Linked DNA regions of Elephas maximus indicus. The main gene of each other region encodes a partner of the protein of the gene in region 3 in a complex. Links are inferred from orthologs where the notes say so. Each region holds a gene or a part of one and is shown on either strand. Other genes may lie near its edges. The genes, in order: CDK8, MED7, CCNC and MED24.

Region 1 (6,961 bases), on a different chromosome or scaffold from region 3:
CCATTAAAAGAAAAGTTCATCATACAAACAAAATCATTAAAGTTGCTAAAAACATGCCCAAAGGACTGCGAATGAAAAATTAATTTTTCCAAAACACAAGCTACTTTCTGGCTATCAGAAATGACAAAGAAATGTTTATACACTATACATTGAGCTATGTTTAAATTGTGTACCCAGTGAAAACCCAGTGCCGTCAAGTCAATTCCGACTCATGGCAACCCTATAGGACAGAGTAGGACTGCCCATAGAGTTTCCAAGGAGCGCCTGGTGGATTCGAACTGCCAACCCTTTGGTTAGCAGCCGTAGCACTTAACCACTACACCACCAGGGTTTCCATTGTGTAATTCTCCTCAAATTATTAAAACCTAAATTAAACTCTGATCATGAGATATAAAATGTGCTTAAAAGTACCTCAATACTAGTTTTTCAATAAAATATAAAATCAAAGTTAATACAAATATGCATATTTATTACCATAAATTGGTAATTTATGAAAACAAAACTGGCTTCTTTCAGAGAGCTTAAAAATAATTAAAGGTCATCAGAATTTTATCAAGCAGATGACAGACTGGTCAAATGTACTACAATGCCTAATCTCATGGGATTAGGGATTTTATGAATATGCTTAAAATTACATAATACTGGGGGATGAAGAGATGGTTTAAAGCTTTTGAAAAATATTATATGGGAAGCATAATTTAAAAATATATGTCATTACAGAGTAGTACCTTACTGAGAAATCTAATTAGACAACAAGACACAGCAGTATCTCCAGAAGCTGATTTCTCAAATGTCACCAGACCATCCATTCCCCTAAAAAGTACTTTTAAATACATGTGGCACCTGGAGTATCAAGTTTTCAAATTCCTACCTTTAACAGAGATAGCTGTACTGCTTTACTGCTGCATAAAGGCACTGAAATACACATTTCAAATTAATTAGTATTACCATTTTCTTCCTAGGGTCCGTCTTAAATTATTTTAGAAAGGTAACTAAGTAAATCTTAAAAAAAAAAAAAAGCTGAACATACATTTCCTTTCTAATATTCAGAATACTAAAGTATGTACAAATATGGCCTTTTCCCCCTATCCAAGGTAACTTATTTCAGCTTTATGAATGGTTACTCTTTTTTTTCTTTTTTGGTGCTAAATAGTTCTGAACATACCCTACTAATTTGAAATAAAAAAAAGCAATTATTTTAAATGGTAAATAGCAGCTAACCAAACTAACAGTAAAGCTACTTTTGCTTCTAATAAAATCCAAAGCTTTGATTTTATCTTCCCGTAAATTTCTATCATGTTAAAGGCAACAGAAACGACATCCATTTTTGCAAAAGGAAAGCAAAGAGTTAATCCAGTATATTTTCTCCCCAACCTAAATACTGTCTTCTCTTTTGTCAATATTACAAGACATTCATCTACTGACAAAGGAAAAATGAACACTTCACTTGCCCGTTTTAAAACTAAATAGAAACATTACCAGTCATAGATTTAATTACTTCTAGAGAAGAATGTCTAAAGCAAAGGGACTGCTTAAAGTTCAATGCCAGCTGCTAAATTTTGGGCGAACAGCCTTAACACCATACCCCCTATTTGTCACTTGCCTTTCCCCACCACCCACCCTGCACCAAACCCCCATTGTTCCGTGTACAAACTCAGTTAATGATACCCAAAGAGGGATTCCTACATTCATGGAGCACATGATCACTATGAGGAGCTCCTGACAGCCACATTCACTTGCTGCCTTTTCTGCCCTCAATAAAATCTAAATGTGGTAATAAATCCATTATGAAACCGATGAGGGAAAGGACCACTGCGTTCCTTCCAGAGTGACGGATGTCACTCTAGAGGCGGGTGAGGAAATCCTCAGAAGGTTATCATAATAAACCGACCCCCCCCCCCAAAAATCATTTCAACTGACGTTTCATAACGAATACTAAAAAAAAAAAAAAAAACCCGCACTGATGCCCCTGAAAAGTACACAGCCCACGGACGACGGCTGTTCTTCCCGGTCAGCCCCTGCCACCCAGAGGAGCACGCAGGGTCTCTGGCGGCCGCAGATCCCTCGCACAGCACTTCCTCCCGACCTGGCTGGAGCAGACGACGCGGGGTCGAGGAAGTGGGAGCCGGCACCGGCGGCCGCCCTCGCGCTCCTCGCCTCGGCCTGGGGCGACACGCACACACACTCACCCGTCTTTCCTCTTGGCTTTGTAGACGTGACCATAAGTGCCTCGGCCAACTTTGCAGCCCTCGTATTCAAACAGGTCCTCGACCCGCTCCCGCTCGCTGCTCAGCTTCACTTTAAAGTCATAGTCCATTGTCACAGCCTCGGAGGCCGGGGAGCGGGGCCGGGGGGCCGGGTGGCAGCGGTGGGGAACGGGGAGGCACGGGCAGCCGCAGCCCCCGGGAGCCCACCCGCTCTACACCTGGCAGCGGCAGCACCGGCCCGACGGATGCCGCAGGAGCAGCAGGAGGCCCCGCGACAGCCCCGGGGACATCCAGGGGGACAGCGGGGCAAGGTGGGGACGGGGAGGCCTCCCCGCCGGAGGAGAGCGGAGGGACGAGGCTGGGGGAGGGGTGGGGAGCGGTGTCGCTGCCCTCGTCCCCGCGGCTCCCCGGGCGCCGGTCTCCCTCTTCTCCGGCTGCGGAGGGAGCGCGGGGCTGCCGCGGCGGGCGCTCCTCTCCTCCTGGCACACACGCACTCACTCTTCGCACCCGCTCGCACACGCACACGCACACTCACTCACTCACTCACTCTCCATACACTCACACAGAAAAGCGGCGGCCGTACAACAGCCGGTACCTCCTCAGAGAGAAGAGGAGGGAGGGGACTTGCGGAACACGGCCCGGTTGTCGCAAAAACGTCGCGAAGGCTCAGGCTGCCTCGAGCCCTCCCACCACCCGCTCCAGCTGCGGCCCGCCGCCCCTCCCGGCGCCCGACGCCCGGTGACAGGGGGAGAGAGCGAGGGAGCAACTGGCCGGAGCGGCGGCCAAGCACAGCACGTGGGCCGTCCTGAGCGCTGGCCTGAGCCCCAGACTACAATGCCCAGAACGCACGGCGCCACCGTCACCGCCCCTTCCAGGACCCCGCCCCACGCAGGGGCAATGTGAGGGCGTGGTGAATGATGGGATCGGTAGTTCGTGGTGAGAGAAGTTTTAATTCATGTTGTTGGGTGCTGTCCAGTGGTTCCCGAGTCCTAGCGACCGCATGTGACAGGGTAGAATTGTCCCATAGGGTTTTCTAGACTGTAATCTTTATGGAAGCAGATCGCCAGATCTTTCTCCCGCAGAACAGCTGTGTGGGTTTGAACCACCAAACTTTGAGTTAGTAGCCAAGCACTTAAACAGTGCACCACCAGGGCTCCTTTTCAGTTATTTAGGGAACGCTTTTTATTATGTTTTATTATTTTTTACGGCGCACTTTTTATTTTTTAAATATCCTTAGAGTCTAATTTGGGCTATAAACTTGGCCAAGGAAGTTCACGTGTCAGGGAGGCTAGTTTGTATTAGAATCACATTTTGTGCTACTTGACGGTCACTCTCCCGTAAGGTCTGCACAGTACTATTCGCATAAGTGACACATGTTACAGACTTCGAGGAAAGTCAATCAGTGAGGAGTGTGATGCGACACCCAAATACTGTTACTCTTGCGGTAGTTGCCCATGCGAATGGTTCCGGTCTATTCAGAAGGAAGGTTACGTTGAGTATGGCCTTCGTGTAGAACCACCGATGTTTTAGCCATAAGATTACAGTCATGGAGCTAAATCAATGGAAACTAATTTGTTGATAATGTTTAGGTAGAAAAGGTGTCTCCTGGAGGAGCCCTAATATCTTGACAATAATCCCTCAAATTGCCTTATCCCTCTCATTTGCACATTCTTTTTTTGTTTGTTTGCTTCCATTTGTTACCATTTCCACTAATGCTCACCACTGTCCAAACGATATGATCACTCCCACTTTTAAACCCCCATAACACTTTATTTTTTCCACCTGTCCTGTGGTACTCATCAAATTCTGTTTTGTCTTGTATTCCCTCTCCCTTGCTAGATTATAAATTCTTGTAGAGGGTCATATTTTTCTCTTCCATAACACCTAGCATCATACCTTGACTATGGTGCACTGTAAACATTTGTTGACTTAATGAGTGAATGAACATGTTTATGTCAAAAATATCTGTGTACAGATGATGATGATGCAATTTTGTGAAAATCCTCAAAGGAACCCTTGTCTTATATAAATTTCCTCAGAGGAAATCATGACCTCACCATTGGTTTAAGTTGTTTTTACTTTAGCCATTAAACATAATTTAGTGTTTAAGTACCCTGACTCAGGTTAGATGACTCTGAGTTTGAATCCTGCTTGCCATTGATTAGCAGTGTATCCTTGGACTAACTCTGAGCCTCAGTTTGTGTCTTTGCAAAATGGAGATATAAAAGGCCCAACTTAGAATAAATGCACAGCAAATGTAAGCTTCCGTTAATGAGATATTACATGCATTTGATCGGTAATGTAATTTGGGTGACTCTCTAGCAGGACTGTGCCTTTGCATGGAGAATTAATTCTTTTCCCTAAGTATGAATTTAGACTAGACTCTTCCTGAAAATTTATTTTGTGTTTTTTGAGGGATGTGTCTTTTTGTCCAAGTATTCACTCATAGATTTTGAGAAACCAACCCACCACATTGGAGGAAAGGTGGTGCAGAGGCATGGCAGTGGGCTTGGCCCCATACTTGGGTGCCCCACCCCCATCCCACCACCTACACATGATATTCCTGAGCACTGAAGATCCCAGACTTTTAAAATGTACTTTTGAGTACTATTTTGTACCTATCCATCCTGTGGATGAAGGTAAGAATTCTCCCTGAAGTAACTGAGTGTTCTGATTATCAGTTCTCTGAGACAGGAACGGAAGCTGGCCTTGCACTAGGGAAGAGAACCAACCGATTGCTGTGGAGTCGATTCTGACTCATGGTGACCCCATGTGTGTTAGAGTTGAACTGTGTTCCATAGGGCTTTCAGTGGCTGATTTTTCAGAAGTAGATTGCTAGGCCTTTGGTTTCTGAGGCACCTGAGGTTGGACTCAAACGGCCAACCTTTCAGTTAGAAGCCAAGTGCGCTAACCATTCACATCACCCAGGGAAAAGAGAAGGGCCCGCTATTCTCTCTGAAGCTAGGGTGAGAGTTAGGAGTCTGGACTTCAGGGTGGGAGAATATGGTGACATGAGGTAAGCCGGCCCCTTAAGGCAGCATCAGGATGCGGAGCTAAGGAAGATTGCCACTAGGGGGCCCCTTACAGGGGAGCAGGGCCAATGTGTTAGAAGTGGTAACAGCTCATATTGGTTTTTTTTTTTTTTTTTCTTCATGGTAATTCCCTTCTGTTATACCCAAGCTATCAGCCTGGTCTTTGCTGTGGGGCTTGTGTCTGTACTTGGAGGAGAAGGGGCAGCAACAGCCTGCAGAGCCAAAGCAATGAGCCAGGAAGGACTAATGGAATGTGTAAGCATTCCAGATACTGGAAGAGTGGAATCTGGTTTTAGCATGCACTTCCTGTAGTTCAAGGGATGGAAGTTCAGACTTTATTGTTATTTGAATGAATTGAACATATCAGGAACATGGAGCTGTGATTTCAGTTTGATTTCCTAACTCTGATCATACTGAGTTCACATGTCCATTTGCTCCATGATGACCTCCACTGATGTTGTAGAATCTATGGCTTCGTTGGCCTACACTCCAAACAATGGCCTAATAATTTTCGTGCTTCTTTTCTTAAAATATGATTTTATTTACATTCCAAATTGAACATCTCCAGTGTTATCATGCCTCCCAAGCACCAGCCCCACAGTTCAGTTGCCTCCCATACAGCCTAAGGGGAAATTCTGCTGTCATCTCAAACTTAAAATTTCTGCAAGTGAACATACTATACTATTCCCTGAATCTCTCAGTTCCTGTGATTAGCAGTACCAGTAGACAGTCATTCTGCTGTTTGCCAAACCCATGAGCCCAGGCCTTCATTACCTAACATTGTCCTTAATATTCAAGCCAGATATGCCTTTGTCTGTCCTATTCTCCAAGGTTGGAATGCCCTTCCTCATATCGTCTCAGACCTTTGCAGTCCACCAGGGAACAGCTCAAATGCTTAACTTTTATCATGAAGACTTTCCTGATCCCTGCAACTAGATGTGATCTTTCTTTCCCATGAACCGCTCCCCCAGTTCCAGCCCCATCACACTTTATTTGTAACTTATCTAGAAGCATCACAATTATCTTATACTTCAGTTATTTATTTTATGCACTTAAAAAAAATCTTTCAACTCAGTCAATTGATGTAATATAGTTCACAAAGTTCATGTTCTTTATCCTAGTGAAGTGAGTAGCATCTGGGGTCTTAAAAGCTTGCAAGCGGCCATCTAAGATACAACTATTGGTCTCTACTCATCCAGAGCAAAAGGGAAAGAGGGAAATAGAGACTCAGAGAAGAAATAAGACTACAAGGCTAATAGTCAACATGAGCCGTGGCCTCACCTACCCTGAGACCAGAAGATCTAGATGGTGCCCAGCTACCACCACTGACCATTCTGACCAGGGTCACAAAATAATTATCTCTTACAGTGCCCAGCACATATCTTGCATAATTATAATTAATAAGAAGGTGTTTAATTTAATTGATTTCTCTAAAGGTTGAAATGAATCTTAAGATTAATAATAAATGGTGTAGGCAGTCATTTTAAAACATTTAACATCTTACCTCAGTCTTGCCTCTCAAGGTAAACCTTCTGCAGCATGCAAAAGAGCTTGCTGCTCAGTGATTAGATGAAAAAAGAAAAAAAAACAGACTTACTGCTTTATGATATATTAATGTAAAAGGGCATTCTTGACAACACACAATACAGGAGAGGTTAGCACAACTGCAAAGCAGTTAGCACAAAAGCAAAGAAATTTCCTGAGTAAACTGAATGCTTTGAA
Region 2 (7,702 bases), on a different chromosome or scaffold from region 3:
CTCTTCTGCCTTTGGCCTTTCCACTTGCTATTCTTTCTGCTTGGAATGTTTTTCTGCCTGATCCTAGCATGGGGCTGGCTTCAGGCATTAGCTTAAACTATCACCTTTTCACAAAACAGCGAGATCAACAGTAGGTCTTCTTTTATTCTCTGTACTAGTATCCTGTTTTTCTCTCCCATCAGACTGTAAACTCCAGGAGGGGAAGGATTGTGATAATCATAGTTCTCATTACGTCCACAGCCTTGCAGGTAGGACCTTTATAAATATTTGAGCAGCTCCATCCATTTCAAGAGGGCTCCAATCAATGGGAATTTGAGAGTAGGCTCAAACATCCTTAATGAGTACGCATTTCTCAAATATTTTTCTGTATGAAATGAGTATACAGGCAACATGATTACAATGATAGCTAATATTTTAGCGTACACTATATGCCAGACACTGTTCTAAATATTTTTCTCATAGTTGTGAGAAATCTGCAAAAGGTACTCTTATTGCCTCAGTTTTAGAAATGAGATAACTGGCTCAGAAAAGTTAAGCTACTTGCCTAATGTCACTGAGCAAGTAGCAGAGTAAGGATCCAGAGCCTAAAACTCTTAAATACTACACTATACCATTTTTCTAGACACTGCCTCCATCTTAGTATTGCTTGCAATCTTAGTAGAAAACAAAACTAAAAATTCCACATAGGAAAATATATCGTAAGCAAATTTTTAAAAGATAGTAACTGGGAGAAAAATGTTTGCAATACATAACAGTAAATACTAAACATTTTATTTTGATGTTTTAAAACTTATTTTCAGACTCCATCCCCACTAGAAGGAAAGCACCATAGTATCAGGAATTCTGCCTGTCTTGTTCACAATTCTATCTCAGCACCTCAAACAGTGCCTAGGAAATGCCTGATCATCAAAATAGCCACTGAATGAGTTTTTTAAAATCTATGCTAAAAAATAATAATAGACAAAGGATGAGAAGGAGAAAAATGCCAAATAAAGGTGGGAAAATGTTCAGACATACATTTTTCAGAACAAAACTTAAAATGCTATTTTTCATTTAATGGACTATAAAGATCTCAAATATCCCATCATTCAGCAAATGTCTGAACACTTCCTACATAGCAGGCTCCAGCAGAGGTCACACTCTCAGTTTCTTCAGAGTGGTCACCCAACTTTAGAAGCAGTCCCTTAGCTATTCTGGCCCAGCAGGTATGCCTTCTCAGGTGGAGGGCACCCACTCACTGCAGCTCTCACGGAAGCAGCCATCATCACTACCACTGCATGACTCCCCTAAGTGGTAAGCCAATACCACCCAAGAGAATACGGGGAATTTTCAGGCACAGCTGATGGGAAAGGAACCTAGTAGGTATTTGGAATTTAAAATGGCAATATCCAAATTTTACATGCTGATATTCTTTAAACCAACAATCCCATTTCTAGAAATTTATCCTATAAAAATACTGGTACAAGTACACAAAAACATGTACAAGGATGTTTAACATAGCACTGTTTGAAGAGTAGGAAAATTTGAAAATAACCTATGCCTTCATCAATATGAGGACTGGATAAAATACAATGTCTAATACTCTACAGCCATTTAGAAAAAATGGGTGAGTATGTGTGTGGTTGGGGGGGGCATTTATAAATATTGTTTCAATTATTTACAACACACTTAGTTGCAAACAGTTAAATCAACTTTTTAAAACTTTATTTTAACAAATTCAGAACTCATATTCTTCATCCTGATTTCCCAAATTTTAACATTCTCCTCATTTGCTTTAGCGGCTACTCATCCTTTACCCATAAAGTACTTCAGTGTGTATCCCAAAAACCAGAATGTTCTTTTATAACCACAGCATAATGATCAAACTAGGGAAATCACCATCCATACGGTACTTCAAAATAACATTTTGGACATCCCAGGTTTCACCCCACACAAACCTTTTTTCGGTTGGGAGTCCTGTCCTGTATGTATTCCCCAGCACCATTAGCATTCCTCTATTTAAGTCGCCATTTTCCAAAGGCCAACTACGTGACAGGTACCATTGTTTATATCCTTACTTAATTTTCATAATTCTATGATGAAGATCCCAGGGCTCAATGTGGGAAAGTACTTGCCTCAGATCAAACATTAGTAAATGGCAGAGCGGGGATTCTTATTCTTATCCCAGATTCTTTTAGTTGCAGAGCTCTTCATTAGCAAAGCTATGAAGCTTCTAACTGTACCACTGAGACTTGATATATTACAGAAATTGTGTTCATTTCTCCATTTCCTCTTAGATGGAGCTTTTTGATGATGGTGTTTTACTCATTTTAGTAAAACCAGCGCCACGCATCATAGCCGGTGTTCATACTCAACATCCACCTTCTTAGTGTTTGTTCCGTTCTGGGGACTTAAAAAAAAAAAGTATTCCAGGCCCCCCCACCCCAGGAATTTGATTCAGCTTGTCTATAGAGTGCCTCTGAAAAGTCGTTTTTAAAACCTCTCCAGGCGAGTCTGACGATTAACCTTGAGATCTATCGCCCCCCTGACCTCTATTAGCTCCCTGATGTGGGAAGGACAGAGATGGTTCTTTCCATTTGACAAAGGGCCAGAGGGAAGAAATAATTCGCCCATGGCAACACAATTTAAAAAACCGGCGGCGCGGGGCCTAGAACCCAAGCTCTCAACCTCAGTGCGGCTCGGTCTCCCCACCCGGACGAAGCCTCGAGTCAGCTGCGCAGGCAGCACCCTGCGGCCGGGTGTCCACTCAGGGGGTCGGGAGGCCGAGCTCTCCGAAGGAAGGGGAGAAAAAGGAGGGCCACCCTCGGACGGCGCGCCTCCCCAGGCCTCCCCCAACCCCAGCCCAGCTCTGAAATAGGAGTAGGGTCCGGAAGAAGAAACGCACGCAGACCGGAGCCCCAAGCCGTCGCCATCCACTAACCTCAGCTCTGGGCTTACACCGGTAGCCGCCTTAGCCACTGCCACCAAAATCCGATTTCCGTTCTCCTTCCCCAGGAAGAAGCTCCTAGGCGCTGTCCTCTGATTGGCGGAAAAGACTGTCTTTTCCCGAGACTCTAGTCCCGCCTCAGATCACTAGGTCGCTATTGCGCCTGCGCGGCCTCACGTAGTAGGCACAGCCGCTAGGAGGGGTTGGAGGTGAGCTTGCTGGTCTGTGTATTTTCAGTCATAAAAAAGAGAGGCTCATGGCTCCGTTCCTTTTTTTCTTTTAATTTTTTTAAAGTGCTTAAGACAGTTAAACAAAGCATCCATATGGTTTGTATAAAAACTAGAAAATACAGGTAAAATTTTTAAAAAAATTATATCAACAAAACTCTAAACCCACGTCAAAATAGTGTAAATATATAAAATATAAATAAATACGTATTAATATATATAACGTAAAAAATGACTAAAAATGATATTGGACTCTATATGGTACTTATAATTCTTTTAAATAAGGGTATATTTGTTAACATGCTTGGGAGTTACATGTTGTGAATCTTCATTCTTCATCATCCATTGACTTTTATTTTCATTTAGGAATTCAGAAGGGTCTATTTAATATTTCCAGGCAACAAATTACCAAGTTAAAAAAAAAAAAGACTCAGACTTAAAGGTTTCTTATAGAGGTTATTTTTGTAAGAAGTGGCACAAATTTCTAAATTTGTGGGAGTCTTGAAAGAGCTGTGGACCAAATAATACAAGTAGAGATGAATTTTAACAGAGCAGAACAAATGGGTAGCTTTTATGAAAATCAGCATGTTTTTGTGAAAAATAAGATTAATATTCATTCTGATAAAAGTTTGCAGCAGTTTTACCTCCTCAAAAATAAGATTCATTGCTTTTTTTTTAACTTACTGTGAAGAATTTCTAATATACACAATAGCAGAGAGAATAGTGTAATCAATTTCTGTATGCTCAGCACTACCCTGAATAACTACTAGCCGTAATTTCATCTGTATTTCAGCATGCATTTTCAAAAAATATACACTCATTTCCTTAACATAACCAGTATCATTATCTCATTTAAGAATAAACTAACAATAAATCTTTAATATCAAATATGAGGCCAGTATACAAATTTCAAGTATCTCAGGATCCAAATAAGGTCCACCTTTTGTAATTGACTGTGTCTTTTAATTTCCTTCTAATCTATAGGTTCCTTCTCCATCTCAGTTTTCCCTCATCTCAGTTTATTTGTTGAGATAACCCATAATTTCTGAACATACCCCAAATAAGCTCTTCTCATTTCCCTTGACATTGTTCTTGTCAAGGTCACCAGTGACCTACACTAATGACCTTCAATGGCCATTCTCAGTTCTCGTTTTACTACTCCTCTTAGCAGCATTTGACACAATTTGGTCATTTAGATTATTCTGGAATTCAGTTCTTCAGATACTTCTCGGTCAGATATTATCCAGGCCCTGGCAACACCCTCACCTCTGAGCTTTAGACCCCCGTACCAACATTATTAGACCTCTTTACTGCCAGAAAGTCAAGCTAGATTCAAAAGAGGATGTAAAACGAGGGATATCATTGCTAATGTCAGATGAATCTTAGCTGAAAGTAAAGAATATTAGAAAGATGTATACCAGTGCTTTATTGACTACGCGAAGGCATTCAACTGTGTAGGTTGTAACAAATTATGGATAACATTGTGAAGAATAGGAATTTCAGAACGCTGATGTGAAACCTCTCCGCAGATCAAGAGGCAGTTGTTCAAATAGAACAAGGGGATACCGTATGGTTTAAAATTGGAAAAGTTGTGCATCAGGATTGTATCCTTTCATCATACTTTTTCAGTCTGTATGCTGAGCAAATAATTTGAGAAGCTGGACTCTATGAAGAAGGTTGCCGGCATCAGGATTGGAGGAAGACTCATTAATAAGCTGCAGTAAGCAGATGACACAATCTTGCTTGCTGAAAGGGAAGAGGACTTAAAGCACTTATGGATGAAGATCAAAGACTACAGCCTTCAGTATGGATTACACCTTAACCTAAAGAAAACAAAAATCCTCACAACTGGACCAGTAAGCAACATCATGATAAAGGGAGAAAAGATTGAGGTTGTCAAGGATTTCATTTTCCTTGGATCCACAATAATATCCATGGAAGAAGCAGTCAAGAAATCAAACGATGTACCGTATTGGTTAAATCTGCTGCAGGAGACCTCTTTAAAATCTTTGAAAGTAAAGATGTCACCTTGAGGACTAAGGTGCACCTGACCCAAGCCATAGTATTTTCAATCACTTTAGAAAGCTGGAGTGTAAAAAATGATGACTGAAGAATTGATACATTTGAATTATGATGTTGGTGAAGAATATTGAATATACCATGGACTGGCCGAAGAATGAATAAATCTGTCATGGAAGAAGTACAGCCAGAACGCTCCTTAGAGGCGAGGATGGTGAGACTTTGTAGTGCTTACTTTTGATACTTCATGAGGAGGGACCAATCCCTGGAGAAAGTACATCATGCTTGGTAAAGTAGAGGGTCAGTGAAAAGAGGAAGACCCTCAGTGAGATGGATTGACACAGTGGCTGCAAGGATAGGCTCAAATATAGCAACGATTGTGAAGGTGGCACAGGACCAGGCAACATATAGTTCCATTTTACAGAACGTCACTATGAGTTGGAGTCTAATTTACGGCACATAACAACAACTATTCACTCAATTGCAAAGGCTCAAACATGAGAAGTCATCCTTTACTCCAGCTTCTTCCATATTCCACATCCAAACTACTGGCATTTTGTGTTCTTTTTTTAATAAAGTCCCAAATTTGACTAGTTTGCTCCATCCCACTGCTATGATCATATCCCACACCACATTTATCTCTCACCTGGACTTCTGAAATAGCTTCCTAACTGGTCTCCTCAATTTAACTTTTCCCCCCTCTTACTCTGTTTACTAAGGAGCCATGGTGGTGCAGTGGTTAAGCACTGGGCTGCTAACCAAGGGGTCTTCGGTTCGAACCCACCCTACCAGTCCATGGGAGAAAAGATTTGGCGACTTGCTCACATAAAGATTACGGCCTAGGAAACTGTATGGGGCAGTTCTACTTTGTCGTATAGGGTCACTATGAATCGGAATCAACTTGACAGCTCACAACAACAATCTATTTACTATTCTGTCTTAAAGGATAGATTTTTATCACTTCTCTACTAAAATTCTTAATGGCTTCCCATCTCATTTAGAATAAAATTCAACGGAGTCACCATGGCCTACGAGGCCCTTCAAAATTTACTTCTTGGCTCTCTTTCAGGTATTATTTCCCACCATTTTTCTCAGTGTTCACCCTTCTTCAGCGACACTGGCCTTACTAATTTTTCCCTGTAAAATCACTAAGCACACTTCCACCTCAGAGCCATTGGTTTGCCTAGAACTCTGCACAGACATCTAATGCCTCACTCTCTCACTTTGTTCAGGTCTCTGGTCAATTGTGACCTTTCTCAGAGAGCATTTCCCTGGCCACTCTGAATAAAATAACACACCCCCAGTCATTCTCTGTCTCCTTATTCTGTTATCCTTCCTTCATAGCACTTGTCATCATCGGAATCATTGAGTATATTTTTTATTTTTTGTCTTTTCCATCAAAATGCAGGGTTCATGAGGATAGGGCTTTTGTCTATTTTATCCACTGTTGCATTCTCAGCACCTAGAAAAGTTTCTGAATTAGCAAGTGCTCCATGAATATTTATTAAATAACAAATATATAATCGTATCTCTTTTTTTTTTTTTTTTGCTTTGAAAACAAATTTATTTTCTCACAGTTCTGGAGGCTAACGGTCCAAATCAGGGTCTTGGCCATGTCAATTCCTTATCGGTAGCTCTGGCTACCGATTTCTTGGTTTCTTGGCTTGAAGTCGATCCTCACGTGGCATCTGTCTTCCTCTGTGTGTGCATCTGTGTCTAACCTGCTCCTTTTGTAACTCAGAAGTGATTAGATTTAGGATATGCCCTACACTGTGTTCTCAAAGGATTGATTAACTACATTATATTACATTATGGAAAATGATTATATTAAATTGTATTCACAGGTATAAATCAGTTGCTGTCTAGTTGATTCTGACTCATGATGACCTCATGGGTGTCAGAGTTGAACTGTACCTGTTACAGATTAAATTGTGTGGCCCCAAAATGAGTGTCAGCTTGGCTAGGCCATGATTCCCAGGATTGTGTGATTGTACACCATTTTGTCATTTGATGTGATTTTCCTATGTGTTGTAGATCTTACCTCTATGATGTTAATGAGGCAGGATTAGAGGCAGTTACATTAATGAGCCAGGACTCAATATACAAGATTAGATTTTGTCTTAAGTCCATCTCTTTTGAGATACAAATGTGAGAAGTGAGCAGAGAGACACGGGGACCTCATACCACCAAGAAACAAGAGCCAGGAGAAAGCACGTCCTTTGAATGTGGGTCCCTGTGCTGAGAAGCTCCTCAACTGGGAGAGATTGATGACAAGGACCTTCTCCCAGAGTCTACAGACAAAGAAAGCCTTCCCCTGGAGCTGGCACACTGAATTTGGACTTCTAGCCTCCTAAACTGTGAGAGAATAAATTTCTCTTTGTTAAAGCCATCCACTTGTGGTATTTCTGTTATAGCAGCACCAGAAATTAAGACAATACTACATAGGTTTTTTTTCCCCCTGACGGCACTGGGGGTGGGGTGAATGTATTATGTTGTTGTTGTTGAGAATATACACAGCAAAGCATACAAC
Region 3 (7,791 bases):
AATGTCTTTGAACAGAAGAAGTTTTGAACAAGAGAATATATAAAAAGCATAAGTATGCTTACTGATTTCTAGTCACTTACAAATAAGTTTAATGCTTGAGAAATGGAGCAAATAAAATCAATGCAATTTGGTGTCATAGAAATGTCTAGTTGAGCATCTCAGTAACACTAGTAGTAATTTTTGGGTCTTCCAGAGCAAGTAGGATTTCAAATACAGTTTGTCAGAGAGGCCAGAATTTATACCAGATGGGCCATTTCCCTCTTTCCTGGAACACCCTGTGCTTATAGCCTCACATGTTCTTTGTTGTACTCCTTCTTCTTTCTCCTTATATGCCAATTAAGATGTTCTTGGCTGCGGGTAACACAAATGCCAACTCAAAGTTGTTTAAACAATAAAGGGATGTATAATTTCACCCAACAAAAAATCTACAGGCAGGTGCTCCAGGATTGATTAATTCAGTGGCTGCACAATGTTGTCACCAAGAATCAAATTTTGCCCTGTCTTCCAGTTCTATCATACTCAGTCTGACTGTCTTGTCCTCCTGGTCATAAGATATGTGCACACCATAGTTATCACAAACAGCAGAGGTTCTCTAGCACTATTGACATTTTAGGTCAGTAATTCTTTGTAGTAGGAGACTGTTCTGTACATTATAGGATTTTTAACAGCATTTCTGGCCTCTACTTGCTACTTGCCAGTAGCACTACCCCAAATGTAACAAGCAAAAATATCCAGACATTGCTAAATGTCTCCCGGTGGGGGAGGGTAAAATCACCCTAGTTAATAACCACTGGCAAACAGACACATTAACAGTATAGTAGATGAGGGACTAATTTTTTTGTCAAAGGCTTTAGATATAAGACCAAGAAAGACCTTGTCTGAAGCTCTAAGCAGACTTCCCCTCTGTTGCATTGGCCAGACTTGCTACACGTTGTGATTGTTAAGGTTGTGTGTCAACTTGGCTGGACCATGATTCTCAGTGGTTTGGCAGTTATAACAGTCTGGCAGTTGTATAATAAATGTAATCACCTCCATGATGAGATCTGATATAACGTGATTGCCTCCATGATGGGATCTGTTGTGAGTAGCCAATCAGTTGAATGGGTGTTTCCTTGGGTGTGTGGCCTGCAACCAATATAGGTGGACTTTCTAGCAAGATTTGTGGGCTTTTGCTCCCTCTGGATCCTGCAGCTGGCTCCTGTTCATTGACACATAAAATTAACCATCACACTGTATTAAACTAAACAAGAGTTCATATTGCAATCTCTGACTTTATTACCACAGAATTCATTCTGGTCTTTGATTTTTTGTAACTTCTTTCTCTGGCAGTGAAAGACTTGGCTCCCATTATCTACCATCAATTTACTTTTTTTGTTCAACCCCACTATACATGTAAAGCAGGTTCAGAAAACAAATTTACAAACTACAATACAGTATTTATGTGCAGTTTTTTTTTTCTCTTTAGCTTCACAGTCTTTGATTAAAAACAATTTTAAATCAAATTGTTTATACAAAAGGAATCCCCCCTCCGAAAGACCCTGTACTATAGGGGAAGTCCTGTTCTCTTACTACCCTTAACTCACCCCTTTAGGGTTATCCATTTAATGACTTGATGCATATATTTCCACATTTTTCCCCTTGCTCATATACAAGCATATATTATGTGCATGTGTATGTCTGTGTCTGCATTTGTGTTCTATAGAAGACATTTGGTCTGAGGGTAGAGTATGGGAACTAGAATGTTTTAGAAGCAGGTAACTCTAAAATACAGCTAAGATTAAGGACTACTGCTCTAAGCCAATTGTGGTAGTTTTCATCAGGGCTACCTGTAGGTATGCGTGGCCCCGGACAATTTTTTTTTTTTTTGTGAGACATCTAACTATATAAAAAACAAGCAGATGAAAGAAATTAAGAAAATAATGATGTAGAGTAAGGATGACAGTTCATGATGTAGAGAAAAGCATACAAACGAATGTTACAACAATCAGAATCTACGAAGTAGACAGAAAATACACAGAATAGAGGGATAGCATAGGCCAGCTGGGAACAGGAAAACAGAGGAAACACACAGAGAAAAGTTGGCTTTGGTTCTTGACAGTTTTCTAATTACAATTCTCCTGTCAATCCATGAGTCTTTTCACAATGAACTATAAATTTCCAGAGGTAACTTTAGCAAGTCTCTATTACTTGCACCAAAAGAATTATAATATATAGTTATGAAATAAGTATGACTAAGAAGAAGGAAAGGAGTTGGCCAACGTGCCAGGGATAAAGAATACAATGGAAGAAGTTAGAAGTGTATTCAGTCCATAGCCAGGTGATAAAATCCATTCTGAGTTTCTGTTTGAAGAGAAAAGTGTATCAAGGTCAGATATCACCTGGAGAAGGCCACTGAGACAAGTGGACTTCCCCAGAACCACTCATTCAAGAAGACTCAGAAACCTGAGCTGCCAGCTTCCAAAAGAAAAAACCCAAACCCATTGCCATCGAATTTACTCTGACTCATAGTGACCCTAAAGGACAGAGTAGAACTGCCCCGTTGAGTTTCCAAGGAGCACCTGGTAGATCTGAACTGCCGACTTTCGGTTAGCAGCCATTGCCCTTAACCACTTCGCCACAAAGCGAAATTATCTCTAAGGTGTGGACGCACATTAGTCAAGCTCACAGAAACTCATATATCAAAAGTCCAATATCAATTTATTGATTTATAAGGATAATAACTACCAAATGGATCAGATCCTTTTGTTCACTCCTCAGAGTATTTTCTGTCTACAGGCAAATTCCTGTGGAAAGACAAATTATTATCGGAAGGTTGCTTGGTAAGCATGGAATTAGATCAATGGGAGTTAGTGCCTTCAAGCTATAACAACCTGATGCAACTCAATTCAACCTACACTTACCAAGTACCCTCAGATGTAATTTCCCCTGAAGCTAATACTTTCTAAGCTTTAGGCCCCTGTAAGTGATGGGAGCTGCTGGACAATTGGTTGTCTGAAAAGGGAAGGAGAGCAGGGTTGCAAACAGGAAGCATTTTTATGTAACATTCCTGAAAAATTGCCTAAAGAGTTTACAGCAGACAGGGACCTTGTTGTAGTTTCCTAGTGCTGCTGGAACACAAATACCATGACTGGATAGCTTTAAAGAAGAAAAATTTATTTTCTTGAGTTCTGGAGGCTAAAAATCCAAATTAGGGTCTCAGCCATGCAGATTCCTTCCTTGTAGCCCTGGGCATTACTTGTTTCTTGGTAATCCTCAGAGGCATCTGTCTTCCCCTGTCCTTGTTTCTGTGTTTAATCGGCTCTTTTTATAATTCAAAAGTGATTAGGTTCGGCTACAACAGATGACTGCCCTGACAGGGAACACAACAGAGAATCCCTGATGGAGCGGGAGAGCAGTGGGTTGCAGACCTCAAATTCTCGTAAAAAGACCAGACAGACTTATTGGTCTAACTAGACCAGAAGGACCCCGGAGGTCATGGTCCCCAGGCCTTCTGTTAGCCCAAGACTGGTACCATTTCCAAACCCAACTCTTCAGACAGGGCTTGGACCGGACTGTAAGATAGAAAATGATACTGGTGAGGAGTGAGCTTCTTGGCTCAAGTAGACACATGAGACTATGTGGGCAATTCCCGTCTGGAGGGGAGATGAGAAGGCAGAGGGGGACAGAAGCTGGCTGAATGGACACGGGGAATAAAGGGTGGAGAGGAGTGTGCTGTCTCATTAGGGGAAGAGCAAGTAGGAGTACATAGCAAGGTATATATAAGTTTTTGTATGAGAGACTGACTTGATTTGTATACTTTCACTTAAAGCACAATAAAAATTTTTTGGAAAAGTGATTAGGTTTAGGACGTTGATATGGCCTCATTAATATAACATTAGATTGCATTATGGAAAGTAATTATATTACATTATATCTACAGGTATAGGGATTAGGATTCCAACACATATTTTAGGGGGACACAAATCAATCCATAACAGACCTGAATCTCTAAGGCTTTACTTTTTGTTGTTTACCATCCAGTTGATTCTGACTTGATAGCGACTTATAGGACAGAGAAGAACTGACTTCATAGAGTTTCCTAGGCTGTAATCTGTAAGGGAGCAGATTGATAGCCCTTTTCTCCCTCAGAGCTGGGTGGGTTCAAACCACCGACCTTTCAAAACTTGTTATAATTTCTTTTTGTATTGTAAACATTTACTTTTTAAACCTAATTTTGCATTAATAATGTTATATTCTTTTTCTTGGAAACCCTGGTGGTGTATTGGTTAAGTGCTCCGGCTGCTAACCAAGAGATCGGCAGTTCAAATCTGCCAGGCGCTCCTTGGAAACTCTATAGGGCAGCTCTACTCTGTTCTGTAAGTTTGCTATGAGTCGGAATCGATTCGACGGCAACGGGTTTGGGTTTTTTTGGTTTTTACTATGTATATTCTCAACAACAAAATAATTTTTTTTTTAAAAAAAAAGGACATGTTAGGCTTGGTGCCAGTAGATGTCGGTAAGTCTGTGAGGCCAAAATAATTTTTCTTTTCAATAGCCGAAGAAATAAGATAAATCAAAAAACCTAATGGTCTATTACAATACCATTATGCTGTCTCAAAGGCCTTGAAGATGCAATAACAAAACCCAGTACTGCGATCCTCCCGTCAGGCTAACTCCACTAAACGTAGCCAGTTTTGATGACTGAACACCAAACCATCCAGCTCCAGGAGAAACAGGCGCGAAGCTCTCGCGAGACTCTACCAATACCCAGGAGCTCCCGTGAGCACCAGTTCCCGTCTCCTAACCTAGCGCGCTTACAGGCCGTCTCCTCCCCGCCGGCTTCTTCCGCTACCGCGGGGCGGGCCGGAACCTTTGTTAAAGGGAACGAGTTTACACAGCAGTGTTGCCGGCCGGCATCAAGGAGAACAGCGTGGCATCCTCTTCCTCTCGCCGTTGCGGCCGCGGAGCGGAGCTGAGCTGATTATAGTCGAGGAGCTCGGTTACCGGGCGGGCTGGGTCTATGGTCGCTCCGCGGGCCGCTCCGCCTGCTGGTGCTTTTTTATCAGGGCAAGCTGTGTTCCATGGCAGGGAACTTTTGGCAGAGCTCCCACTAGTAAGTGATCTCCCGTCTTCCGTCCAGGGCCGGCACTTAGGGGTCTGTAAGGACGGGGCCTGCAGCTCCCCTTGGCCTGCATCCTGGTCCCTGTCCCGAGCGCCTCGGGGTCCTCCCGGGAGTCGGCGGCGGCCGGCAGCCGGCAGCGGGATGCGCTGTTTTGAGATGACTCCCCTTTTCCTGCCCCCCTAGCCCGGTTTCGGGGAAGGATCTGTGACCCGGAGTGGTGGGGACAGGGCAGTCTCCGAGAAAGGGAGGTTGAGGAGTTTAATTTAGGATTGTTGGATTAGCTAGGCCCGGGATGGGGAGGGGGTTGGGTGATGGCTCCGGGTGTGGGAAGTGTGTCTCAGTTGTGGACTGTGAGGTGGGCTCCTCAGGATGGCTGTGGCTCGATTTTGCCTGGGATTACTTTAGAGGATCGGCACCTGGTCTTTTGTCATTCACCGTCTATCTTGAATGTATTTAATAATGTTCCGAGGAGGAGGGGGAACTCCGTGTTTCTTCTCACTAACCACTTCCTGCCACTACCTTATGCCCAGATGGAGTTTTATGTTGGTAGGTGATACAGCAGGTGCTTGCAAGACTTAGCCATTTCATTATTCTGTGCCTTGTATTTTGTTTTGTAAGTGTTTTCCAGTGATTTTGTTTGCTAGTTTACAATTTTTCGTAAATAAGTTTTTGTTTCTGTCAGTGATCGTGGAAGAGCTAGAGTTATATTAAAAACATTTTTCCCTAAGTGCATTTGTTTAAGCAGGCAAGAAGGTGGGTGATGGGGCTAATTAAACATTGACTAGACTTTTCACTGGAAAGTTGAAATAGGAACAGAACGTGATAAGACTGTACTTAGTGTAAGTAATTTTTAATGGTAAGAGTGTTTGTAACTAATTTCAACTTTGATTTTATGAATAGCATCGGTTCCTTTCTTTTGTTTTTTGGCCCTTTCCCGAAGAAAAAAGGAACAGTGGCCTTGGAAACCTATTTGCAGAAAAGCAGGTCTTCCTCTTTGCTCTAAAGTAATTCTATGGTGCTGAAATGCTCTAGAAGCTTTACAAATTATACCATTTTTATTTTGTATAGTTTTTTCACTCACTGAAATAGTTGCTTGGGCAAAGTTAAAATATAGAAGGCATAGGTAGTGGAGAAGAGTATTCTTATAAACTTGGAGAGAAGCTGAGAGAACTTCAGGGAAGCTGGCAGTTGGTCGTCAGAAGTTAATGCAGTTTTTTAGCTTTTAGAAAAGAGACCCTGTCCCCCTTTTGATGAGCATTCTCATTATGCTTTCACTTACTATTGGCATTATAGAAACAGTTGTTTTTTTCACTATTGAGATATAAAGTTATTACAACATTAAGTGTGCTTTTTTGGAATTGCCCCTGCCTGCCAATTCAAATAGTCCTGAAGGAAGGGGCCACTTTACCTCACTTAACTCCCTTGATTATCATGAAGTCCTTTTTCTGTAAAAGATAACAGGTATGAAATACAAGACAATCAATTCGTGAAAAAAACAAAAAGATTATGAAAGGACATTGCTTTAGGTACGTATCAGAGATTTTGATGAAAGAGGAAACGTCATGAAAAAGATTGTATTTCATGGCTTATAAGGTGCACATTTTCACATTTTAACTTCTCAGAAATTGGCATGGCAGTTTTTTTTTCTTAGTAACACATGAAATAATGATGAGTTTTACAGCCAGTGGAATCTTAAGTTTGATGAAATGTGGTATTTATAAGTCTTGGTTTATTCTCTATACAAAATGCTGGGAGGAAATTTTTTAAAAATATTTGTTTCTGAAATTTATCTTTTTAAAAAGATAAAATGACTCTGTGGAAATGAAATTAGTGTTAATTCCAGGACAGAGCAAGTCACAATATATTCCAGAAAATTGAAGTAGCACAAAACATTCTCTGATCACAATGTGGTAAAACCAGAAAGGCATTAAATAAATATTTTCAGGTTGGTTGAATGAATGAATGAGCACGTAACAAAAATAAAAACTACAAAACCAACTCTGGATGCTTTATTGTATCAAAGAGGAAACTGAAAATACAGTTACATAATATCTAGAAAATAATATAATGAGATCAATATATATCAGTATTTATGGAATGTAGCCATGCTGAACGTAAAAAAATTAAATTATTGAATGAGAAAGAATAAAAATAAATTTTTTAAAATTCTACCTAAGAATATTAAAAAGGAAACAGTGAAACAAACCTAAGGAAAATAGAAGGAAAGACTTAATAAAAGTAAAACTTTTATTAATGTAATAAAAGGGAAAAAATTGTCAGAAAATACAAGAGCTGGTTTTTTGGGAGGGAAAACCAAGACAATAGGCTGGATAAACTACTGCTGATTGAGACAAGGAAAAAAGGGATGATGTAAAAATATAAAATTAGGAATGAGAAAGGTAAATGAACCCAGATATACCTTTGGACTATCTGTATGGCATAAATTAGAAAGCAAATTAAGAGTTATCAGAACGACTTCGTAAAAATGCTCAAGGCCCACACATTATTTCCTGCATAAATTACCCTCAACTTTCAAGAGGATCATAGCTCTGCTATTGAAATTGTTCCATTTCACACAGAAAGGAGGAAATGCTTTCCAGTTCTTTTTATGAAGCCATTATAACACTGGTGATAAAATCTAGCAAAGGAAGCACTAAAAACCTGTCTCACTTTTGAATATTGATTCAAAG
Region 4 (7,667 bases), on a different chromosome or scaffold from region 3:
TGCCAGGCGGGCAGGAGACAGGCGGGGGCAGCACCGCAGCCAGGGTGTGCCAAGCACCGAGGCACAGCCTGGGGGGAGACAGGGAGACACCCAGACCCAGAGAGAGAGACACATTCAGAGGGAGACAGACTGTGCAGCGAATGAGGCCTGGATAGGCAGGGATAGAAGTGGGACTAGGCGACAGAGAGAAAATAGCCTTCTCTTGTCCAGCCCAGCCCCCATGACTACCAAGCCCCCTGCCCCTCACTGTGCTGGCTGAGAACAGCAGGCCCCAGTGCCCAGCCCCTGGGCATCCCCACCCACCTCCACCCCTCAGGGCTGGCTACGCCATTATAAATTTATAACAGGAATTTCTCCACAAGCCAAGAAAAACTTGACCTACTTTCTTGACGGCTCCCTGGGCTAAGGCTCCCCGCTTGCCCCCCTCCCCCAGTCTCCTATCCAGCCCCCAGTGCCCAGTTCTGGCCTGGGGGGGTATCAGAGGCAGAATGGGCCTTCCTTCTGCACTCCTCCCCACACGGGGGCTTGCCTGGATGCAGAGGCCCTGTCCTGTTGTCCTGCCCTGCCTAGTATCCTGACTTATCTCCCTTCTCCTCCCACCCTGGCTCCTTATCAGTTCCTGGGGGTCGGGTTGGGGGGGGGCCCAGGGGTGAGATCTCTGGTGCAGTGGCCACATGATAGAGGTTGTGTGTGGGGAGTTGCACCCTTTGTCCCCGTCCTACACCCACACCTGCCTGTGTGTACACACACAGTAAGCCCCAGATCTGCAGCCTGGGTTGAGAGGTGCTGTGTAGATGGAATAGTGGGCCCAGACTAGCACTGCCCTGGACTCCAGGTAGTGGAACAAAGCTAGCATTAGAGCCAGGCCACTAAGTTTAATCCTTGAGCCACCTGCTTATAGCTATGTGAACTTAAGTAAATGATCAAGTTTTCTGATACTCAGTTTCCTCATCAGGAAAGTTCTGATGCCCACTTCAGAGGGCACGTATTATCTGCTCAGTCAATGCGTGTTCCCTTTCCCCTTCCCCTCACCATCCTGGTAGGTGGCAGCTCAGCTAAACTGACTGGGAAGTCTGGTCCTCAGACTGGGAAGTGTGACCTAGGACCTTGTATGGGAAGCCGTGGGGTCCCTGGGGGGCCAGGGTTGAGGAGTCATAACTTGATCAGCAGCAGGTGTGGTCAGCTCCCCACCACTGTTAGTATCTCTCTCCTTGAGACACTAAGATGGGCATCTATGGTCCCTGAACGTTGTCCTCATACCCCACCCTTCCTTTACTGGTTCTCCCAGGGCCTAGGCTGAAAACTGCTCATCCCTGATCCCCTTTTGCCCCTATAATACTGATGAGTTTTAGGGAAACAGCTAGAGGGGTGGTAATAGTAGCTGACGTTTATAGATACTTATTAAGGGCCTGGCACTTGATAGAATGTGAGGATTGAGATGTGGTACACGGTACACAAATTACCTCATTCCTTTCCTCCATCCCTCTCCATCTCTGGAGTTTAGGATATAAGTCTACAATCTTGTTGGCTAATCTAAGAGATTACCCTGTTCCTTCCCTGGGGAAGCATAACTAGGTTACCTGTGCCTGCCCACCACGTGCTTCATCATCCTGTTGTGGACCTCAAGAACCCAAATTGCTACCACCAGAGGAATCCCCCCCACCATGGAACCTTCTTACCCTTTCTCTTTCTTTTCTCTGCAGGGACTTCAGGACAGGACAAGACACTGAGCCTACTCCCCAAACCCCAGCCCAGGACACCCCTACAAATCCAGCTCACCCCCTAGCCCTCCCACCTGCCACTCCCTGGCCCCTCTCACTGCCCGCCCCCCTTGGGGCGCAGGGCATGGTGTGAAGGCCAAGTGCTGAGGCAGGCACCATGGGTGCTGTGCCCTAGGGCTTGGGTGGTGGGGGGTGGGTGGCCTGTGGGTGTGCCGGGGGGGCCTGTGTGCCCACCCCAGTCTCTTGGCGTGCTGGAGTGCATCCTGGATGGAATTGAAGTGAATGGAACAGAAGCCAAGCAAGCTGGAGTGTGGGTCAGACCCAGAGGAGAACAGGTAATAGGCCCAGGCAGTGGGCATGGTCACTTGGCTGGGCATAAGGCCTCCCTGACAAGAACTGAGCTCAGGCCTTTTAAGCACCTCTTGGGAACGGGCTTGAGGCCAGCAAGCCTGCTGCCTACCTACCTTTTCCCCAGGAGATGAGGTCACGTTTAGATGTGGCAGGGAAGTAGGCACCTGGGTTCAGAGATGCCCATATCATACGCCTATGATACGGAGCAGAGTATTCAGGCAGCAAGCATATGGCTCTACCCTTGACCATGCTGGACAGTCTCAAATGCCCCCCAGTGTCTCCTCTGCTACTGCTGCCCTCACCTGAGCATGAGGTATCCAAAAGGCCTTGCCACCTTCCTCCTCCCCCTACCAGCCCATTCACCATCTGACCACAAGTGTGTTGTCCACAGGCCCTGGTGCATGTAGCATGACATTTCAGGGCACATGCACCAGTTACTACTGGTCACAGCTCGCGTTTGTATTGGAACCTATTGGGAGCCCCACAAACTATTCCTTGTTTATGGGGAAGGGCGGGTGCTACCATGAAGCTCCTCCCAGGAAGGAAAGCGCAGGCCAACCGTGAAGGTTTACCCCACACTACCCCACACGTGAAGGTTTACCCCACACATGGGGAGGCATCCGCCCAGCACACACAAGTAGGGATGGGTTACCTGTGCTCTGCATTGTCCTTGAGGAGCCCAGAGGGTCTCTGCCATCAGCACCAAGTGGCACAGAGTTCTGTCCCAGTTGGCATAGTGCCCCAGAAGCTGGGTACAGCTTGTGCCTATGGCCGGAGAGAGGATGGAGGAGGGGTGCTCTGGGGAGCAGTGTGGCTGTTGCCTAGGAGACCAGATCCTGAGCCAGGAGGCCTGAGGCCTGGCCAGGCAAAGCCCTGGGGCCCAAGACTGGGTCCCTGGAGGGGTGGAGGAAGTGGGTGGGGCTTGCAGTTTGGTGGGCCCCCCAGGGAACCCCTACCCCAAAACCTCACCCTAGGCGAGACTCTGAGAAGGAAGATCTGGCCTGTCCTAGTGCGGCTCCGACTTGTAGTTCCTGTACCTCCCTGCCCAGGCTTCTGTAGGTCTGAGAGAGTCTGTCCCAAAGGGTTGGAGAAAGGCGGGAATGCCCTTTCCCGGTCCCCCTAGGGTTGCAGCCCCTCCCTCCCCCGCCTCCCTCTCGTCTTTGTCCCCTCCCCCATGTCTCTGCGCCACCTTGTGGCTGTCCCTGGGACTGCACCCAAAGGCTTCCAGGTAGGTAATCTCTGAAGAGGCCAGCTCTACTGGAGCCTAGGTGGCCCGGAGTTCCTCCCGCACACACCCCCACCCAGTAGACCAGAAGGAGATCCTGACCCTCCAGCCTTGTCAGAACCAGACAGGGGTAATCCCCAGGGGGTGGGGAGCACAGGGCTGTCTGTGATTGTGACCCTGGCCAAGGTCACTGTGTCAGTGTGTTGGGAGCTGTTTTGGGCTCCAGGAGGAGGAGTCCTGACTATGCTACATGCCAGGGTGGGTGTGGGAGGTTATACAATCCGTGCATGCATGTAGAAGGGCTTATGTAACCTGTTGGGGGGGGTTATGTAACATGTATATGGAGCACCAGGGTGACATATATGTGCAGTGGAGGAGGGTTGCTAATACTTGGAGCGCAGGGGCTCAGGGTCCTTGTCCTGGCTCTGTCTCTAGCATGCGGTGTCACCAGGCCCAAGTGGGACTTTGGTTTGCTGCTCTGTTAAATGGAAGCCATGGACAGCGTGATTCTGGAAGGACTTTCCTGGTCTTTCATTCTTGGTTCTAGGTGCTGGGAGCTAGGCACTGTATGTTTTCAATCACTGTGGATTATTTAGTACCTATGCATGACTGGAAAATCAAACAACATGTTCACAGTGGGAGGAGAGGGGGTGGTATTGTTAGGTGCCTGTCCAGAAGGTTGTGTATCACATGACTATACCCTAGAAGTCATATAACTCATTTGAGAATGCCCTAGAAATTGCATAGATGTAGATAGATCCTGGTGCCTATTTATCATACTTGGATTTATACTGAAGGCTGCATAGTTATTTGTATGTGCTTGTGTTATGTTGCATGTATGTGTGTGTGCATGTTCTAAAGCTTGCGTAGCTTTAAGCATGTCCTGGGGACACCTCCAGCGTCTGTGTCATGTACTGAAGGTTGAAGTATGTGGATGTCCTTTAGATTATACAGCAGAGTGCTTAATGTTCTGCAGTGTGTGTGTGTGTGTGTGTGTGTGTGTGTTGGGGCCCTAGAACATGCTTGTGCCCCAGCCAAGCCCCTTATCTCTGTCCCCTGCAGTGTCCAGATAGCAGGACCTTTCTTAGCTTTGTCAGCTGACCTGAGGGTGGGGGTAGAATGAGGATACAGATGGAGGGAGTTGGGCCTGGGGGGTTGTATAAGCCTCTCAGATGAGAAAGGGGTTTCCCAAGGACTACTCTGTGATTCCACCCACTTTGTCCCCATCCAGTGCCAGGTCACCAGATGGAAAGCGAAAAAGAAAGAACGGCCAATGTTCCCTGAAAACCAGCATGTCAGGTGAGCTTGGTTGAGTGTGCCCTTCCTCCCTGCTCCCCAGCCAGCGCTGGCCTCTCCTGGGGTCTGACACGCACCAGCAGCTTCTGTGGGGGGATCCTCTCAGAGGGCTTGGGATAGACTTGTCCAGGGGTAGGAGGGCTGATGTGGCGCATGAACCAGGCTTTGAGGATGAATTAGGTCAGGAAGGGCCTCTTCCCTTCTCCCATAACCCCCATGCTGAGTCCCTCAGCAGAATCAGGGCCTGGAGAGAAGAGCCATGGGACTGCATTCTCCTGAGAGAAGTGCTGATATTTGCTTCTGCCTCCCACCCCCCCATCCCCTACCCCTTGGAAAGCAAGGCAGCAAAAGCCCAGAGTGGGCAGCCAGAAGGACTGGGATTCTTCATATTCATTAAAAAAACAAAACAAAAAAATCAGTTGCCATCAAGTTGATTCCAACTCATGTCAGCCAGGGATTAGATATGATGACCTGTGATGTGTTCCCAGGATTCTCCTTGCAGACAACCCTTCAGGGAGGCTGGGTGAGGGCATGGCCAGAAAGGAAAAGTTGGGGGATGGGGAAAGTACAGGAACCTATCTGCTGGGACCCCAAGCCATGCCTGCTTGCCTCCCTCCCTCCCTCCCTCCCAGGGTATATCCCTAGTTACCTGGACAAAGACGAGCAGTGTGTCGTGTGTGGGGACAAGGCAACCGGTTATCACTACCGCTGCATCACTTGTGAGGGCTGCAAGGTATGGACCAGCCGGCTCCTCCCCTCCCCTACCGCCTGAGCCCCTATCTCACTCCCTTTGAGGCCCTCAGTACCTGGCATGATAGAAAAGCTCTATAAACATGTAACCTCAAGCCCACCTGTAATACCATCATTTCTCTTTTTGCACTCATTCATTCATTCATTCTTTTGTTTGTTCATTCATACATAATCCCTGCTCTGCCACTCACAGGTAATTTGCTTAACCTCTCTGAGCCTCAGTTTCTTCACCTATAAAATTGGAATAATCATTCTGCCTACCTCATAGAGGTGTTAAGAATGAAATAGGATAGTTCACATAAAGTGTTTAAAACAGTGCCAGGCGTGTAAGAAACACCCCAATAAATGCCAACTATTGCCCAACCGTTCAGTGCTCCTGGCCTTGTATTAAATGTGAGGATGGAGAGTATGTCCTGTCCTCAAGTCAGAGAGAGACAGACTGGAAACAAATATCAGTGTTTTTCAAAATGAGGCTCATGGACCGCCTACAATGCTAGATAAAATGCAGATTCCCAGGCCCCATCCCAACTGTAATCAGAGCCTCTTGTCGTGGTGCCCAGGAATCTGCCTTGTAATGGGCTCCCCAGTTGCTTCTGATATACCCAAAGAGGTGAGAGCCTCTGCTGGGGGTCATGGTGGGGGCACAGAGGAGAAGAGGATGGCAGGTTCTCCCTGTGTAGAGCGGACAAGGTCATAGACTTGGGGAGGCATAATTAGATTTTCTGTTGGTAATTTCAGCCTGCATGGCTTTTCCCAGATCACCACCTCCTGAAAAGGTGGGCCCTTCCAGGAAACAGAATTATTCAGTGTCAACTACACCAAGACCACCAGGATTTACTGTCCCATGGCTGTGTCCCTGGAACCAATACAAGCAGTGTAGTGTAGAGCAAGGGTCCTCATGCTCAAGGATATTAAATCCCCAGGGAACATCTTGAAAAGACAGATGCCTTGGCCCTACTCCTAGAGAGTCTGATTTAGCAGGTCTGGAGTGGGGCCTAGAAGTCTGCATTTTTGGTAATTGCCTTAAGTGATTTTAGTGCATCTCAGAATCTGAGAGCTCAGACCTTGCTGTTCCATATCTGAGGCCCAGCTCTCGCTCTTCTGCCCGTTAGTCATGTGACATTGGGCAAGTTGCTTTATCTCTCTAAGCTTCAGTTTCTTAGCCTATGAAACCAAAAACCAAGCCCATCGCTGTTCAGTCAATTCAAATAGATTCTAACTCATAGTGCCCTATAGGAAAGAGTAGAACTCTACCACATAGGGTTTCCAAAGCTGTAATCTTTATGGAAGCAGACTGCCATATCTTTCTCCCATGGAGTGGCTGGTGGGTTTGAACCACTGACCTTTCAGTTAGCAGCCAAGCTTAAGCACTGCACCACTAAGTCTCCAGCCTATAAATGGAACAATAAGAGTTCTACGTCATAGTTAAATGGCATGTCACATAAAAATGCTTACAGTGCTTGACACATAGTAAGCATTCAGTAAATATTGGCTATTTGCATTACTACTACCATCTTGGTTCTTGAGGGTTTTCCTTTGAAGAAAGGGCTAAACCTGGTATATATAATTGGTGAAATTTTTCTTTTAAAGCTACTAGAGCATGTACCGAAATGTCTTTTCTTAATTTTTTTGGTCTCTCTATTTCACGAATTCCGCCTACATGGGAAACTGACAACATACAGGAAAATGATTTTGTGGTCACTGTTGTTTTTAGGGTCATTTAGCAAGTTGGAAAGTAAAGTATTAATTGGACTTCCTAAGCTCCTATTCCTTCAGACCTCCTGGCACCACACACTATCCCCAGATCCGAGTCTCCCTACTGCAGTCATCATTCTTGGCCCTGCCATCACCACTGCCCAGGTGCTTGGGGCGAGGGCACTCGTTTCTAAGGTCCCTTGCCCTGGCAGAGCCCAGTGATCCTGGGCTAGCTGTGTCAAGAGGACCCCAGGTCCCCTCACTAATCTCGCCCCCTGCCATCCCCTGTGAACTGTATGGTTGATTCAGGAAGGGGAGGTTAGGATCACAACATGCTCGTCTTCCCCTGCTCCAGGGCTTCTTTCGCCGCACAATCCAGAAGAACCTCCATCCCACCTACTCCTGCAAGTATGACAGCTGCTGTGTCATTGACAAGATCACCCGCAATCAGTGCCAGCTGTGCCGCTTCAAGAAGTGCATCGCTGTGGGCATGGCCATGGACTGTAAGGGGCTTGAGGGGAGGGAGTTGGGGCAGGTGCCTGGGGGTTGGGGTGGGTGAGGGATGGCAGCTCCCTTCCAGGGTACCCTTAGGGCCCATAAGGCAGAGTTCTAGTCCAGGCCAGCTGATG

The links.
Region 1: the proteins of CCNC (region 3) and CDK8 are in contact, whole or in part, in a crystal structure (PDB 5CEI), measured with the Homo sapiens proteins. The link is inferred for Elephas maximus indicus from reciprocal best matches to the Homo sapiens genes CCNC and CDK8. Residues at the interface, in NP_005181.2 of Homo sapiens: Met1, Ala2, Gly3, Asn4, Ser8, Ser9, His10, Gln13, Phe72, Tyr76, Lys79, Ser80, Ile81, Asp82, Leu85, Leu93, Lys96, Val97, Glu98, Glu99, Phe100, Gly101, Val102, Tyr130, His134, Leu136, Glu137, Glu139, Phe140, Tyr141; in NP_001251.1 of Homo sapiens: Met1, Asp2, Tyr3, Asp4, Phe5, Lys6, Leu9, Arg13, Gly58, Ile59, Ser60, Met61, Cys64, Arg65, Ile67, Ala68, Leu69, Arg71, Glu72, Leu73, Val84, Leu86, Ser87, His88, Arg91, Lys92, Val93, Asn145, Trp146, Val147.
Region 2: CCNC (region 3) and MED7 share a complex: the UniProt entries of both Homo sapiens proteins name them as parts of the mediator complex. The link is inferred for Elephas maximus indicus from reciprocal best matches to the Homo sapiens genes CCNC and MED7.
Region 4: CCNC (region 3) and MED24 share a complex: the UniProt entries of both Homo sapiens proteins name them as parts of the mediator complex. The link is inferred for Elephas maximus indicus from reciprocal best matches to the Homo sapiens genes CCNC and MED24.

What each region holds. Positions count from the first base shown.
Region 1 is NC_064841.1:58,014,663-58,021,623, reverse strand, and holds the start of CDK8 (cyclin-dependent kinase 8), read right to left. Parts: upstream 3,008-6,961; 5' UTR 2,318-3,007; coding exon 2,190-2,317; intron 1-2,189.
Region 2 is NC_064820.1:173,622,951-173,630,652, forward strand, and holds the start of MED7 (mediator of RNA polymerase II transcription subunit 7), read right to left. Parts: upstream 3,007-7,702; 5' UTR 2,921-3,006; intron 1-2,920. UniProt on the Homo sapiens protein: Component of the Mediator complex, a coactivator involved in the regulated transcription of nearly all RNA polymerase II-dependent genes.
Region 3 is NC_064819.1:164,409,156-164,416,946, reverse strand, and holds the start of CCNC (cyclin-C), read left to right. Parts: upstream 1-4,785; 5' UTR 4,786-5,060; coding exon 5,061-5,092; intron 5,093-7,791. UniProt on the Homo sapiens protein: Component of the Mediator complex, a coactivator involved in regulated gene transcription of nearly all RNA polymerase II-dependent genes.
Region 4 is NC_064837.1:47,307,357-47,315,023, forward strand, and holds the start of MED24 (mediator of RNA polymerase II transcription subunit 24), read right to left. Parts: upstream 3,013-7,667; 5' UTR 2,439-3,012; coding exon 2,186-2,438; intron 2,057-2,185; coding exon of another isoform or gene 2,004-2,056; exon of another isoform or gene 1,704-2,003; intron 1-1,703. Other genes in the region: THRA (thyroid hormone receptor alpha), read left to right, coding at 2,004-2,056, 4,529-4,596, 5,226-5,326, 7,394-7,541. UniProt on the Homo sapiens protein: Component of the Mediator complex, a coactivator involved in the regulated transcription of nearly all RNA polymerase II-dependent genes.